Tamandua tetradactyla: one gene and its partner. The protein of the gene in region 1 purifies or fractionates together with the protein of each later gene. This does not show direct contact. Links are inferred from orthologs where the notes say so. Each region holds a gene or a part of one and is shown in the gene's direction. Other genes may lie near its edges.

Evidence for each region. Proteins that work in one complex are often made in the same cells at the same time.
Region 2: the proteins of PSME1 (region 1) and PSMA2 purify together in Homo sapiens (affinity purification with mass spectrometry; 6 studies listed by BioGRID and IntAct, with this or other methods). This does not show direct contact. The link is inferred for Tamandua tetradactyla from reciprocal best matches to the Homo sapiens genes PSME1 and PSMA2.

Annotation. Positions count from the first base shown.
Region 1 is NC_135340.1:30,655,824-30,663,793, reverse strand, and holds PSME1 (proteasome activator complex subunit 1), read left to right. Parts: upstream 1-4,954; 5' UTR 4,955-5,205; coding exon 5,206-5,244; intron 5,245-5,947; coding exon 5,948-5,980; intron 5,981-6,080; coding exon 6,081-6,143; intron 6,144-6,256; coding exon 6,257-6,367; intron 6,368-6,456; coding exon 6,457-6,502; intron 6,503-6,634; coding exon 6,635-6,732; intron 6,733-6,986; coding exon 6,987-7,055; intron 7,056-7,140; coding exon 7,141-7,208; intron 7,209-7,325; coding exon 7,326-7,380; exon of another isoform or gene 7,381-7,384; intron 7,385-7,461; coding exon 7,462-7,548; intron 7,549-7,731; coding exon 7,732-7,812; 3' UTR 7,813-7,930; downstream 7,931-7,970. Other genes in the region: FITM1 (fat storage-inducing transmembrane protein 1), read left to right, coding at 725-996, 1,385-1,997. UniProt on the Homo sapiens protein: Implicated in immunoproteasome assembly and required for efficient antigen processing. The PA28 activator complex enhances the generation of class I binding peptides by altering the cleavage pattern of the proteasome.
Region 2 is NC_135327.1:79,158,157-79,165,389, forward strand, and holds the start of PSMA2 (proteasome subunit alpha type-2), read left to right. Parts: upstream 1-4,233; 5' UTR 4,234-4,324; coding exon 4,325-4,365; intron 4,366-7,233. Other genes in the region: MRPL32 (large ribosomal subunit protein bL32m), read right to left, coding at 735-989, 2,203-2,384, 3,955-4,084.

The DNA of each region.
Region 1 (7,970 bases):
CAGATTACAAAGCAGCCCTGGGACCAGACTAGCCCCTTAGAGCCCTTTTAGATCAGTCAGAAGCTGGGCCGGACCATGCCCCCAGGGTTCACAGTGCAGTGAAGTAGGCAGCCCTACTGAGCTGCCTCCCAGGGCCTGAGTTGGAGACAGTGCTGTGTACAACCACCTTGCAGCATCCTGACAGCATTGGGCTCTTGTACGCATAACCCCAGGAGAGGGGGCCAGGACTGCACTGACGATGAGGCAGACAGATTTTTTTCAGTGCCTTCTAAGGTTTGATCATGATCCTTGATGGAAGGGGGATTTGGGCTGACCAAACAGGCAGGCAGAACCAAGTAGGCTGTGGATAAGGATAACCCTGAATGGCAGGCCTGGCCCTGAGAGATGAACTAGAATATGATTGGAGCTGGGAACACAGACCTGTACGTCATGGGGACACCAGGGCTAACGGAAAAGGGCACAGGCGGCTGTCAGGACACAAGCTACCACACCAGAGACCAGGACCCTGCTGACGTGGCAGTCCTCTGCCCCAGCCTCACTTCCCCATTCCCCCATAACTCTGTTCCCTCCCCCCACCCCTCGCCCCTGCCTGTCAGCTGCTAACAGGGCTCTGCCCTGTGTCTGCCACACCTGTCACTGCCTGTCCGTGTCCGGGGGTGGGGGCCCCATCAGCCCCTCCTCAGCTGCCCGGCAGAGCAAGCAGTTAGTGGGGAGGGGAGGGAAGATGGAGCGGGGGCCAGCGGTGGGGGCAGGGCCAGGGCTGGCTGCCGGGACCCGGATCCGGGCACTGCTGGGCTGCCTGCTCAAGGTGTTGCTCTGGCTGGCCTCTGCCTTGCTATACTTTGGAAGTGAACAGGCTGCTCGCCTCCTGGGCAGTCCCTGCTTACGGCGCCTTTACCACGCCTGGCTAGCAGCAGTGGTCATCTTCGGTCCTCTTCTGCAGTTCCATGTCAACCCTCGGACTATCTTCGCCAGCCACGGCAACTTCTTTAACATGTGAGTCAACTCCAGGCTAAGGGAACCGGCTCCCTACACTCTGGGATTCGAGCTCCCTCCCCCAGGCCTCTGTCCTGCCAGCCTAAACACTAAAAATAGGCCAGGAGGTTGAAAAGAAGGTGGGCGGGGGGAGGGAACAGAGTTATGGGGGAATGGGGAAGTGAGGAGCAGGGCTGAAGGGGAAATGCGGATCCAAGAAGGCTAGGTGGTCCTCTAGGGAGATGGCAGCGTTTCAGTGGTCGGGGGTTGTGGAGGGCACGGGAAACAGAACCAGTGATGATGTGACACTGGACGCAGAATTGTGGATAAAGCAGAGATGGGGACACAGACCAGGGTGGGGAGATGCAGCTGGGGGGTCTCAGTGGTCTCCCCTCTTCTCTGCCCACAGAAAGTTTGTGAATTCAGCGTGGGGCTGGACGTGCACCTTTCTGGGGGGATTTGTGTTGCTGGTGGTGTTCCTGGCCACACGGCGTGTGGCGGTGACCGCCAGGCACCTGAGCCGACTGGTGGTGGGGGCAGCCGTGTGGCGGGGGGCCGGCCGGGCCTTCCTGCTCATCGAGGACCTGACGGGTTCCTGCTTCGAGCCTCTACCCCAGGGCCTGCTGCTCCACGAGCTGCCTGACCGCCGCAGCTGCCTGGCAGCCGGCCACCAGTGGCGGGGCTACACGGTCTCCTCCCACACCTTCCTGCTCACCTTCTGCTGCCTGCTCATGGCTGAGGAAGCAGCAGTGTTCGCCAAATACCTATCCCATGGGCTCCCGGCTGGTGCCCCACTGCGCCTTGTCTTCCTGCTCAACGTGCTGCTGCTGGGGCTCTGGAACTTCTTGCTGCTCTGTACCGTCATCTACTTCCACCAGTACACCCACAAGGTCGTGGGTGCCGCCGTGGGCACCTTTGCCTGGTACCTCACCTATGGCAGCTGGTATCATCAGCCCTGGTCCCCAGGGAGCCCAGGCCATGGGCTCTTCCCTCGTTCCCACTCCAGCCATAAGCACAACTGAAAGAAATAAAGGACAGCACGCCTGACTCTGGGTCCTCTCATCATTTGACCGGGGCTTGGGAGGGATGGGAAGGGTAGGACGACGGCCTGGCACCATTGGAATTCTTTAGGCATTCCTTGCTGGCACCATGAATGTTCCTTTTCCTGGGACATCCCTCCCACTGTCAGCCTCCTGACCCTCACAGAGCCATCTGGGGTTGGGATGTCAAGGAATGGTGCTGATAAGGCAGTTAACAGCGTCCTTGAGTGTGGGTATCATTTTGGGCTGAGCAGATGCTCCATCCCAGCCCCATCCCTTCCTGGCCCTGCCCCCCATACACTTACACACACACACACACACACACACACACACACACACACACACACACACACACACACACACACACACACACACACACTGAATCTCTCCTCTGACCTCCTCAGGACCTTGCTTCTCTGGGCACCCCACTCAGGGGCTCTTCCTCAAAGAGAGTCTGGGCGTGTTCATTCATTTAACAAATATTTATTGTGCCGAGCAACATTTCATGCTATGAGTGAGAGAGTTTCTGCTGTAGAGGAGCTTATGGGCTACAAGGAGAGGCAGATGACAAACACAAATAACAGCAAATGCATTGTGCTTCTGGACCAGCCAGACACCTGTCTAAGTTTATACATTCTTTATGTAAATTCACACATTTATTCCTCATCACAACACTTTGAAGTTTAGTAGTGTTCCCATTGTACAGTTGGGAAAACTGAGGCCCAGAGGTTAAGTAACTTATTACAAATTAGTAAATAGCAGAGCCAGGATTATTAGCCCAGAACTATATGGGCGTATTATCTATGTTCTAAACCTGAGGTTAGCAAAATATAGCCTGTTCATGGCCAGCTTTCTTGTGACCTGTGAGCTAAAAATGATTTATATATATATATTTTAATTTTTTAAAGTTAATTTTATTGAGACATAATTTACACACAATAAAATGCATCCATTTTAATTATATAAAGTTCTATGAGTTTACACACACACGTAACCACCACCACACTCAAGATACAGACGATTTCCATCACTTTCAGGAGTTCCTTCAGCAGTCACTCATTTTTCCTCTGATATTCTAGTAGTTGAATAAATTGAATATAAATTATTTACCCATTCTCGAATAAATATTTGGATTGTTTCCAAATTGGGCTTTTACAAATATTCTATGAACATTCAAATGAATGCTCCTAGAGATGCCTGGCGTATAACTAAGAATGGATTTATAAGATTTCTAGGACACACACCTTCTACTTCACTAGAAAATATCAAGTTGTTTTCCAAAGTGATTGTACCATTATGTATGTTAAATACACAGCGCAGGAGTTTTAGCTGGTCTACATTCTTGCCGACAGTCAATACTTTAATTTGGGCTAACCTGAGCGTAAGAATATTTTATTTCAATTTAAATATGTCTATCCATATGCATATGCAAGTGAGTATCTTTAATGTAGCTGCTGACCATTATAACTTTCTTTTTTGAAGTGCCTATTTTGCCATTTTTTCTATTTGGTTGCTTGTCTTTTTTTCATCGATTTGCTTTATACTCTGGATAATAATCCTATGTCTGAATAATAACTCTTCGTCAAGAATATTTGTTGCAGATAGATGGTCCCCGTTTTTGCTTAGTAATTTCATTTTTTATGATGTCATGATAAGCAGAAGTTAGTAATTTGAATATGGCTAGATTTATTAAATTTTTATCATTTGTATTTTTGCATTTTAAAAACTCATTGCCTTCCCAGTGCCTGCTCATGTTAAAAAAAAACCATTGCCTTCAAGTTCAAAAAGGAATCTCCATTCAGTTTGACAGGATTTATATTTTTTAATGGTTGGAAAAAATCAGAAGATTTCATGACATGAAAATTATATGAAATTCAAATTTCAGTGCTCAAAAATTAAAGTTCTACAGGAAACCAGTCATGCTATACGAATATTTAGGTATCGTTTATGACTGCTTTCCTGCTATGACAGCAGAGTTGACTAGTTGCAGGGACTGTATGTACTCACAAAGCCTAAAATATTTACTATCTGGCTCTTTACAGAATAAGTTTGCCAACTTCTGGTCTAAATCATTACAATATTCTGTTTCAAAAAATAAACTAGGTAATATCGGAGAGTTAAGTGCTGTGAAGAACTAAATCAGGCTGCTGTGTATTTAGAGTTGGAGGGAGGTACTTTAGAAAGGACGACTGAGAGTTCTCTCTAAGAGGTGACATTTGAGCCGAGAGCCCAGCGGCATCCCTAGCCAGGGAAAGGTTGTTTCAGGCAAAGGGATTAACAGAGGTAAAGGTCCTGAGGCAGGGATGAACATGACCCGTTTGAAAAGTGAGCAGAAAGGTCAAGTGTTTGCAAGTGTAATGAAGGAGGGGGAAACAGTGGGAAATGAAGCTTGAATGGGAGGACAGGTGCCAGGCAGGCCGGGCAGGGCCTTATGGATCAGGCAAGCCCTTTTGATTTCATTTTAAGGTCAACAGGAAGCTGTGAAAGAGTTTGAAGCCAGAGGAAGGCATGGTCCCTCTATTTTGTGGAGAGTGAGTTATAGAAGAATGGAGGCTGCAACAACAGTCCAGGAGAGTCCAGGGAGCTTGGATCAGGGTGGTGCCAGCGTCTGCATGTCTCTCACCGGCTAGAGGATGCCCACGCTGGCGGGACGAGCTCCCCCTCTGAGCCGCAGGTAAAGCTTATCACTGTGCCAGGCCGAGCAGGGGAGGAGAGCCGGTGAGGAGTGGGGAACCAGGAGCTGAGAAGTTAGGACGGCAGGGAGTCAAGAAGGTGGGGCGAGGTGGGGAGCCTAGGGCGGCGAGGAGGCGGGGATGCCAGGCCGAGAGGCGAGGAAGCAGGGAGGGCGGAGAGGCCGGGAGGCGGGAAGCGGGGCGTCGAGAGGCGGGGGATAGGGGGGCAAGAGGGCGGAGACAGGAGGCCGGCGGTCGAGAGGAGGGAGGGAGGTGGGAGACCGGCTGGGCGGGGGAGGTCGCTGGAAAGGCTCCTTTTGGGCTCTAGGGGGAGCCCCGCCTCGCTGCCTTCCTCCGCCCCTCCACCCCTCTCCTATCCCCGGCCTGTCCCGCCTCCTCCAGTACCTACACTCCCCGCTACCCAGGAAGGCCGGGCGGGTGGCGAGGGCTGCTTTCGCTTTTCCTTCTCCGTGCCCACTCCTCGCTCCTCGTGCGGCGCAAGGCGGCCCGCCGCGACCATGGCCACGCTCAGGGTCCAGCCTGAAGCCCAAGCCAAGGTGAGCGCTGCGGGTTCCAGCAAGGGCCCATTAGGGAGGCGTGGTGCGGAGAGGCTCCCTGATCTGCCCTCCCCCTCCAGCCCCGGACATGAAGAGGGGGGTCAGTCCACCAAGGCCACCTGTCTGGAGCACCTGAGCTCACGTGGAAACCGGAGAGGCTGCCTGCCGAGAGGCGAGGGGGCCGTGGTTCAGTGGGGTGAGGTGAAGCAGAGAGCTGGCGTGCAGGGGAAGTCCGCTGGCCTGGGGCCCTGGGCCACACACAGACAGGGTGTGGGGCCAGCAGTGCCACCTGATGGTCTTTCTCACAGAGGGCCCGGGACCCCCTCCATCCCTTCCCCAATCGCAGGGGGTTCTGTCCTACAAGTCCTCTGAACATGGCCTAACAACCCAGGGGATCTGCTCCCACATCAGCAACTCACCCTTCACCACCAGGAACGTTCTCAACTTCCAAATCCAGCCGCAGGGGAATCTACTTCTCTCTCTGGGGATCTACACTACTTTCCCCAAATCTAGACCCACAGAGATCCACTCCTGTACCACCCGGATCAAACCCCACAGAGATCCATCTCACTTTCTTCAAGTCTGGCCTTAGAGGGATTCACTCCACCCCTTCCCAGGTCCAGGCCCTACATAACCCTAAAGGAACTGTCCTCAAATACTGGCCTTCAAGTCAGGTTTCTGAGGGGTTGCCTGTGCTCCGCAGGTGGATGTGTTCCGTGAAGACCTGTGTACCAAGGTGAGACCTGCCCATCAGCCCTCCCTTGCCAGCCCTGCTCCACTGCTTAGGAAGGACATTGATTTTGACCCCATCCCCCCCCACCCCCACCTGCACACAGGCAGAAAACCTGCTTGGGAGCTATTTCCCCAAGAAGATTTCTGAGTTGGATGCATTTTTAAAGGTACTATGGCCAGGCATGGGGATAGAGAGTAGGGGCCAAGGGAAGAATTTGGGGGACTAGGAAAGTAAGGAGAGGACCCCCTTACCTTCAGCCCTTCTCCCACCCTGCACCAGGAGCCAGCTCTCAATGAAGCCAACCTGAGCAATCTAAAGGCTCCGTTGGACATCCCAGTGCCTGATCCAGTCAAGGAGAAAGAGAAAGAGGAACGGAAAAAACAGCAAGAGGCAAGCTCAGGAAAGCTGGGGGAGGGACCCACCCTAGAGGGAAATCATCCTTAAGCCTGACTTCCATAAGCCCTTCTCTCTCTCTGCAGAAGGAAGACAAAGAAGAAAAGAAGAAAGGGGAAGATGAAGACAAAGGTACCTGAAACCAGTCCAGTGGAAAGGATCTTAATTCCCACCCCCCAGGAGCTCCTCCCTAAGAGTTCCTCTTCCCTTCCCCACCCCTCACTCAGGCCTGATCATGTGACTGACTCATTGCCCATTCCCCAGGTCCTCCCTGTGGCCCAGTGAGCTGTAATGAGAAGATCGTGGTCCTCCTGCAGCGCCTGAAGCCTGAGATCAAGGATGTCATTGAACAGCTCAACCTCGTGAGCCCTCCCACGTCTACCCCCAGGCTGCAGATGGAACCCTTTGTCCTCCTTGGTCCCCGCCAGTTAGGGCACGTGGCACCTGCCAGGTCTTAGTAGGAGTGGGCACAGCAAGTGAAGCCAGAGCAGGCCCTGAGGCCCAGGATGGACTGGCTCACCCTCACCCACTGTGGGCAGGAAAGCAGGAGCGTGCAGGAGCCTGGGAATTGGGTGGGACAGGCTGTTATGAGTTTGACACAATTCCTTCCTCCCAGGTCACCACCTGGTTGCAGCTGCAGATACCTCGGATTGAGGACGGGAACAACTTTGGAGTGGCTGTCCAGGTGTGAGGGCTCCCCCACTCCCTGGTCCTCCTGTTCCCTCCGGTCCTTGCTTCCTTCTACTTTCCCCAATGCTTTCTTTCCCCAGGAGAAAGTGTTTGAGCTGATGACCACCCTTCACACCAAGCTGGAAGGCTTCCACACCCAAATCTCCAAGTGAGTGACCACCCACTCATACCCACACCCACAGGCACCCTCTGCCTTTGGTCTGGGTACAGAGGCCTGGGCTCATACTGCCTTCTCCCTCTCCTCACACCTCTCCCACTTCCACAGGTACTTCTTGGAGCGTGGTGATGCCGTGACCAAGGCAGCCAAGCAGCCCCATGTGGTAGGTGAGGCCCAGGCCAAGGTGCATGGAGGGAAGGACACACTGGAATGAAGTCAGGCCCTACCCTCAATTCTCCCTCAGGGGGATTATCGGCAGCTGGTGCACGAGTTGGATGAGGCAGAGTACCGGGACATCCGGCTCATGGTCATGGAGATCCGCAATGCTTATGTGAGGAGGGCAGGGCAGGGCCGGGCAGGGATGGGCAGAGACAGCTTTCCCAGGCTACCTATACCCTGACCGTGCAGGCTGTGGGTGAAGGGTACAAAGCTAAGCCTCTTCACAAGGCTGGAAATGAGGCACAGAGCTTCTGGGGGCCTCTGGCTGATACCCACTCCTCCCCTGGTCCTGTAGGCCGTGCTATATGACATCATCCTAAAGAACTTCGAGAAGCTCAAGAAGCCCAGAGGAGAAACAAAGGGAATGATCTACTGAGAGCCTCCTGCCTTTTACCAGGGACTCCAGACTTTCCCCCCACCTCATCCTGTTGAGGTTTCTCTCTCCTTTGCCTCCCAGGGAAAATAAATATAGTCATACCGGTCGCTGCCCATCAGCCCAAGTCTCTTTATTGGTTCCTGGTCCCCCTGGCCCTG
Region 2 (7,233 bases), on another chromosome or scaffold:
CACGTAGCAATTTTAAGACTTGCCATAGTGGAAAATATCTGTAGAGGATTGCCTTAAGAATATGCAGATAGTCAATTCCTCTGGAAACACAGTTTTATGCTTAGATTGAGCCAAACCTGAAAAGAGTTACTTATAGGACTCCAATACTTTAGAAGTTTAAAGATTTGCTTTTTCTGAATTGCATTCAATGTATCAGTGGTCTACATTGTACCTTATGGTAAATTAATTTCTAATATTCTAAGTAATTTAACATAACACCTTGAAGATAAAGTGTTTTCCTCAAGAGGAATTCCCTGAAACAGAATAAAACTTTTCCACAATTATAACAGTTATAACTATCATCTTAAAAAAAATCAAGAATTCAAATTATTTCCAAGTATTATTTAAATGAAAGTATTTATGTAAATATTTTTGTGTAAGAGAAAACGCTGGTAAATGAACAAAATCTGAGCCAAAATGAACAATTCTTGCTATGAATTTTAAAGTTATTTTATTTTTCTGTTGGAAGTTCTGTTTTATTTAAAACCTTATAGTATACTGACCTCTATACCAACATTTTCAAAGTTTATCCATGATATAGTTTTCAAATTATTCCACATAAAGCTGTTTATAAATAACATTTTCATCTATACTGATGATTTTAAAACAGTAACCACAACAACACAAAAACAACGAATCTTCCTCTCTTTAGCAGAAATGTACTGTGGAGTCATCTTGTTTAAACGTCTGCGGTATCAATTCTGGGTGAACCAGGATGGTCTCTTCCTCTCTCGTTCAATGATCCTCTTGCCCTGATCTTGTTCAGCTGGTGTCTCTCCTGTATACAGCACCACAGTCTCCACATTAGGAGCCTTAAAAGGGCCCCCTTCTTGTTTCCATATCTGTCTTCTGATTTCTACAGTCTCCTTGCGCACCTTAGCATAGCAATAGCCACAAAGGACATGCTTCTGTTTCAGGTGGCCACATTCAGGACAAATGTCTATATTATTCTTTAAAAAAACAAAGAAACATATTTCAACAAGAAACATAATGTCCCCCAAAAATCACTGACAGGAATTGTGCTTACATTTTAACTTTCTTAAAATGTTCATACTGCATGAGGTTATATACGATCTAGTTAAATCTCACCTTCAGAGAGAAACTAAGGGCAAGCAACACTGAGTTTGAGTTAAAAAAAAAAGAAAAACCAGGGCCAGAACTCCCATCTACTGACTTTGAATCTGGTCTCATTTCTAAAATCTTAAATTCTCTCAACCAAATTGTATGAATTATTATAAGACTAAGTAATGAAATGTTTTACAGTTTCAGAGTTTAAGTCCAGACCCAAGTGCAATTCAGTAATGCTTACTGGCTCAAGTTCTAAGGGTCTGGTTTAATATGGAATGTGTAAGCTTATGAAGTCAACTTTGTTCTCGAGGTTCATTTGTATAGTGCTGCTGTTATGTAATGCCATAAGATAAATGGTCATTGAAAGCACAACTGTTAAAGCCATGAATTAATGGATCAGAGGTTTTCTGTCAGTAAAGAGCGCATCCATGTGTGGGAAAATCTTCAATTAACTGAGGCTTGAGAATCAGAATGCCAGGGCTCATATCTTGTCTCTACGATTTAATAGCTATGTGACGACAGGCATTCTTTTTGTCTCAGTTTCTTCATGAAGAAAATAGTATTTACTCTGAGGGTTATTGTAAGGATTTGATGAGATAGAGCACATAAAAGCACTTAGATGCATTGTAGGATTTTAATACATGTTAGCTATTTTTATTATTCATTTGACGATTTTCTTTCATAGCATTTTACTGGACACAAAATAAATATGTAAGGGCTAGTAATATCTAAGAGCCAAAAGACCTATAGCTTCTGACTTTAATTTTAAGCTCTACCATAGTTAGGGTGCTTATCCAAAGTGGCTCAAAATTACACAGCTTAGGACTGGCGCAGCTCACAATTCATAAGTCATATAAGCTCTTCACAACCATAAGTATTCTGTCCAATCCCCAAACTACCTCCTTGGCAGTGTTCTTAATGTTTAGGCTAAAGGACAGTATACCTATATGTGAAAATATTGAATTTCATTTCAGCTAAAGGAAAGCAGACATATAAAATCTGAGAATAAGTTATCCATAAGCTACGTGACTATACCATTAGGATGTTAAATGACAGACCTGAGGAAAAGGTACACCCATAAAATCAACACATTACCTTAATTTTAATAAGCTTCCGAGGATTTCTTCTCCTACACCGGTTAACTTCAATAGTGCGTCTGTTTTTGGGAGCTGCCATCCAAAAGATACTATCCAAAAAGCTGGAAATCTCCTTACTTCCACTGGTATCATTTACAGATTCTGCAAACATGGCTGGACCCTGAACTGCTAATGCTGGTCCTATAAAATAAAACATGGAGACAAAGAATGAGTTTCTAGCTTTTAAATGACTATTTATAGATATAATTCTCTTTAATCAACAGTGATCATGCAATAGATATATAAACATGAACACATATGCAGATACACACACGGGTGGCAGAGAGAATTTAACATCTGTTAGTTAAATTCAATAAAGACATTTAACAGGAAAGTGTAGCTATTCAAATATACTAAAGCTCATACAAGAGGCCATAAGGAATTTTAAAAAGCACAAGAATAATTTTTTCTCAGCATTCTGCTGAAATTCTACCAAGAGTTTGTAATTGTCTGAAACGCAAAACTCAGGGGTTTAGTAGCAAACACGAATTAAAGTCTGAAAGGTACCTGCCTTAAACAAAATCACCAATTGACCAAACAAAAAAATCACTACATCGTTCACATATTATTTGTTGGACAGTCCATAATTACTTTACAAACAAATAATATATCAAAAGACTGAGGTTTCCAAAATACACTTCTGAGCTGCAGAGATAACCACCTATTTGCTCTTTTTGTTTTTCACTATATTCAAGTGGAGTCAAGTTCCTCTGTCACATAATCTGTTTATGCCCCTCAAAAAAATCACTGAAATCTACATAATATTTAACTTTGATTTTCCTCTTTTCTCTAAGGTCAAGTGCTAGTTCATTACCACTTAGTCTGACAGTCATTAATTTATTTGTGATATCAAAGTTTCACATTTGCTTTTCTAAACTGTTTTTAAAGACGAAACGATTTTTTCACTATTACCTTGCCATTCCTCAGACTTGAATGCTTCTCACTTCAGCGACTCATAAAAAAACAACAACACCAAGCTCTCTAACAGTTAATAACTGAAACTACTTTTCAATACATCTGTACTGAAACGCATAGCCTAGGAGCAAAGAGCTCTGGCTCTGGCCAGCCTGGTTTTGGATCCTCCATCTGTATGATGCTGGGGATTCTCTGAGCCTACTTCTTCAGTTGTAAAGTGGAACATCTAATGGGATTGTTGTGTGGAAATAGATGTAGAAGTCTTACTTTGCACAATACATGGTATATACCGGGGCTCTCTGTTCAGAATGCCTGTGTATTATCACTTTCGGGGCATACTGAGGCATACCCCAAACGTGCGGTACTTTACAAATCGAGTAAATGTAAACGTCAAAGCTATGCCAGTTATAACAGTAAAGACACAAAATTAATTCCCAGGCGAAACAGAGAAATCAGGCTTGGTCTTCTCGGAGCTCAAATTCTGTGGACAAAATGCATTCCGAGGGCTGGAAAGGGAAAGTAAAATCGATCCAGATAGTGGCGGGCCTTAATGCCCAAACTAAAATCCAAACTAAAACACTTGGATTATAATCTGTGCAGGAATGGGACAAGCAGGGGGCATGGGGCCGGGGGAAAACAGCTGTCTGTTGTTCCTAAGCGAAAGTCACGAACAATATTCTCTAGGAGCGGCTGGGTATCAGAACCCAGGCAAGCACGCAGGCTCTTAAACATGTCTACAGCACTGCCTAGGGTCCCCTCATCCAACCCCTTCACCACGGCGGTCCTCTTCACCTACCACACGGAGGACTGGGAAAACCTGGTCGGCTCTGCAGAAGTTTCCGCTGCAGCCGCTCCCAACAGTTCCGGAGCAGTCTCCCCGCTCCCGGCCACGGGGAAAGGACCAGCAGAAGCATGCTCGACGCCATCTTCCCAGTCAGAAGACGACGCCCACCGGCTGCTGAGTCCCGCCGTCACCTGGGGCATGCGTACAGACGCAACGCCGTGGCGAACCCTCCTCCTGGAACTACAATGCCCAGATGTCCCCGCAGCGGCTGTGACTCTCCTCCAATCAGAGAGAGAGTAGGAAATAGGGGTGGGAGGGGAAGTGAGAGGAAGCCGGGTACGGGACGCATGCGTGCGAATGTGCCTTGGCTCTCCGGGCAAAGATGGCGGAACGAGGTTACAGTTTTTCGCTGACTACATTCAGGTATGGGAGAGTTCCCCAGGTCCTCCGCGTTGCGGAGATTGGAGGCGCTCCGTCAGCCGGGTTCTTTGCGTCCTGGCCTCTGACCTGGTGCTTCCGGAGGGTCCGGTATAGAATAGGGGAAGGAATGCGGCGTTGCAAAGTCATTTGCCGGACCACGGTACTGGGGAGTGGGTACTGGGGAGCAGCAGTCCCAGGAGGCCACGCGGCTTGTGGGATTTGGGGTAAACTTGGGGCTCATGGAAGATGAGGACTCCAGCCAGAGATTCGTTTACGTTTTGGCGCCCAGATAGGAAGGCAGTTTTGGATAAGTCATCTCTGGGTAACCCTTTCAGAACTCTGTATTTGCTTCCTGGCCCATTCGGGCCTGATTCGGGAGCGTCCGAAACTCGGACTCTTGGTCCAGTGTGTGGAGTCCCTTTTCCTCGGAAAGCCTCCGTTTTCTGGAGTTTTAGTCTCCAGTTGGCCATAGTGACTTTAGAAACCTCCCGCTTTCGGTTTCTGTGCCTCTGTTAGAAGAATAAAGAAAAAATGAAAGCGTTACTCATTCTGTCACTTGGTGCTTGTGGACCTAGTACTTCTCGCTGAAGTACCAGGCTATTTGCGTTTTAGCTATTTTTTTGAGGATGGCATATTAACTTTAAAAAAGATTATAGACTTTTCAGTTGTCGAACAAGAGGTTAAAAATAATATTTTTGAAAATACAGTTGAAATAATCATCGTTCCCAATGTAAGAAACCATCACCGAAGGATTTAGTAAGTCGATAAGGGAAAGGTTCTAATTTGGCTGTTTTCTTAAGGAGCACCAATGCTCTACCTAAATATAGTCCTGTTTAATGACTAAAGCAGATTGGCTGTAAGTTTTGTTGAGTACGTTCTTGCGTGGGTACAGCTTAACGTCCTACTTCTCTTTCCACAACCATGTATGATAAATGTCCTGCTAACACTTTACAGATGAGGAAACCAGAGCTCAGAAATTAAGTGATTTGTTCAAGATCATCAATGAGTAGCCGAATTGGCATTCAAACTGGTTCTCTATGAAGGCAAAAGTAATGCACTTTCTATTACGTTGTTGTCTTAAAATCCTAAAATACTTTCCTTCTGACAGTTTTCGATAAGGGAGGATATGTACTAGATTTTTTTTTTAACCTTTGAATGAAATTAATTTAATTCTGCAATGAAAGGGACAATATGTGCCAGGTAGTCATTTCATATTAGTGAGCAAAGCAAATGATCCTTTATCTCTAAGGAAGTGTAATCCTGGTGTAATTGAAACAAAACAATATATGTCATGAGCGACTGAAACTTTTTTAATGTTTCTTTATCAAAATAATTTTCTTTTTCTGAAAGGAGTTCATCTTTTATTTTTTTAACATGGTGAGTTCATCTCTCTTTTAGCTAAAAAAGAAAACATTTGTCTCCAGTCTGTTTTAATCAGGATTAAACAATTCACAGTAGAAGTGACTAGAGACTACATAAAGAAGTGTTACTGTGAACTACATTCAGTTGAGGAGGTTGATAATAAATGAGTAAAACAAATTGGCTCCTGGTAATGAATTCTGAAAAAATGCTTTTCTTTCCCTAGTTTTATAAAGTTTAAGAGGGTGGAAAGATTGGGCAGTCAGGAAAGGCCTATGTTTAGAGGTAATTTTGAGACTAGAATATGAAAAGGAGCCAGCCATTTGAGATTTAGGAGTAAGAAGAATTGTGGACAGAGAGAACAGCTTGTTTGTGAAAGCCCTAAAGGTGGAAAAGAGCTTATGGTCTTAAAGGAGTTGAAATAAGCTGGAGTATAGTGAGCAAGGATATATGTGGCTAAGGGCCAAATGATGCAGGGCTTTGTAGGCTAGAGTAAGGAGTTTTTATTTTGTTTTAAATGAACCAAGAAGTTATTACCAAATTTATGGAGGAGTGTGACATGGTGCAAAAATAGGAAAAGTAGTTAATAGGCTATTTCAGTTTCCCTGGTCTTTTGGAATAAGGGTAATGGGAGGACAGAATACAATGATGTCTTGGATTGATTGCTCAGTGATGGGTAGACCAGCTTGGGCAGGCACACAGGAAATAAAAATGATAAAAGTATGTATAGGTGGCTCTGGGAATATAGAAAAGAGAGCTGTTAAGTTTACCTGAATCTGTATATTCCACAGAGTTATTTCAGCTAGGTATTGAACAATAATTGAAAACTGGATTGACCCAGAAAGTCATAATATAATTATTGAAATAGTGACCATTAAAGCACAAGTACAGCTTAATTTTAAAAATTTAAGTGTCTACTGATGTTATTCTGCTTAAGTCAGCTAATTTTGTAATTTAAGTCTTTGTAAATCTGTCACCCTTAGGTTTATTCTTTAAATAGGTGTAGATGTGTCTCTATTAACCGAGTGATTGTGGACTCCTCAAACTAGGTTATTGCTAGACTACTGACTGAGTAGAGTTTATGCTCTGTTGAGGAGGAAAAATATTGTAAAAACAATTCAGATATGATGAATCTTAGCCAAAGAGGAAGTACAGGACACATAGCATAAATGTATGGGTATTTAACCTAATCTGAGGGGTCAGAGCTGGCTTCTTCCCTGAGGATGTGACATTTCTGCTGAGGAAGGATAGCAAGGAAGGAGTTAACCAGGCCATAGAGTGGAAAGCATTCCGGAGGAATTAGTTTGTAAAATGGGCGTTTGAGGTGTAAGAGTAGGTTCTCTGTCAGGTTCAAGATGGTATACTTCTTCTAACTCAACAAATAAATTGAAATAAAGTATGACCTGTAAGGCCAGTTTGGGACTAGAATTAGACCACCAAACCTATGGAACCAGACTTAATTATAGCTACTTCATGGCATCTAGAAGTAGTTTTATTGTATAGAAAATAATT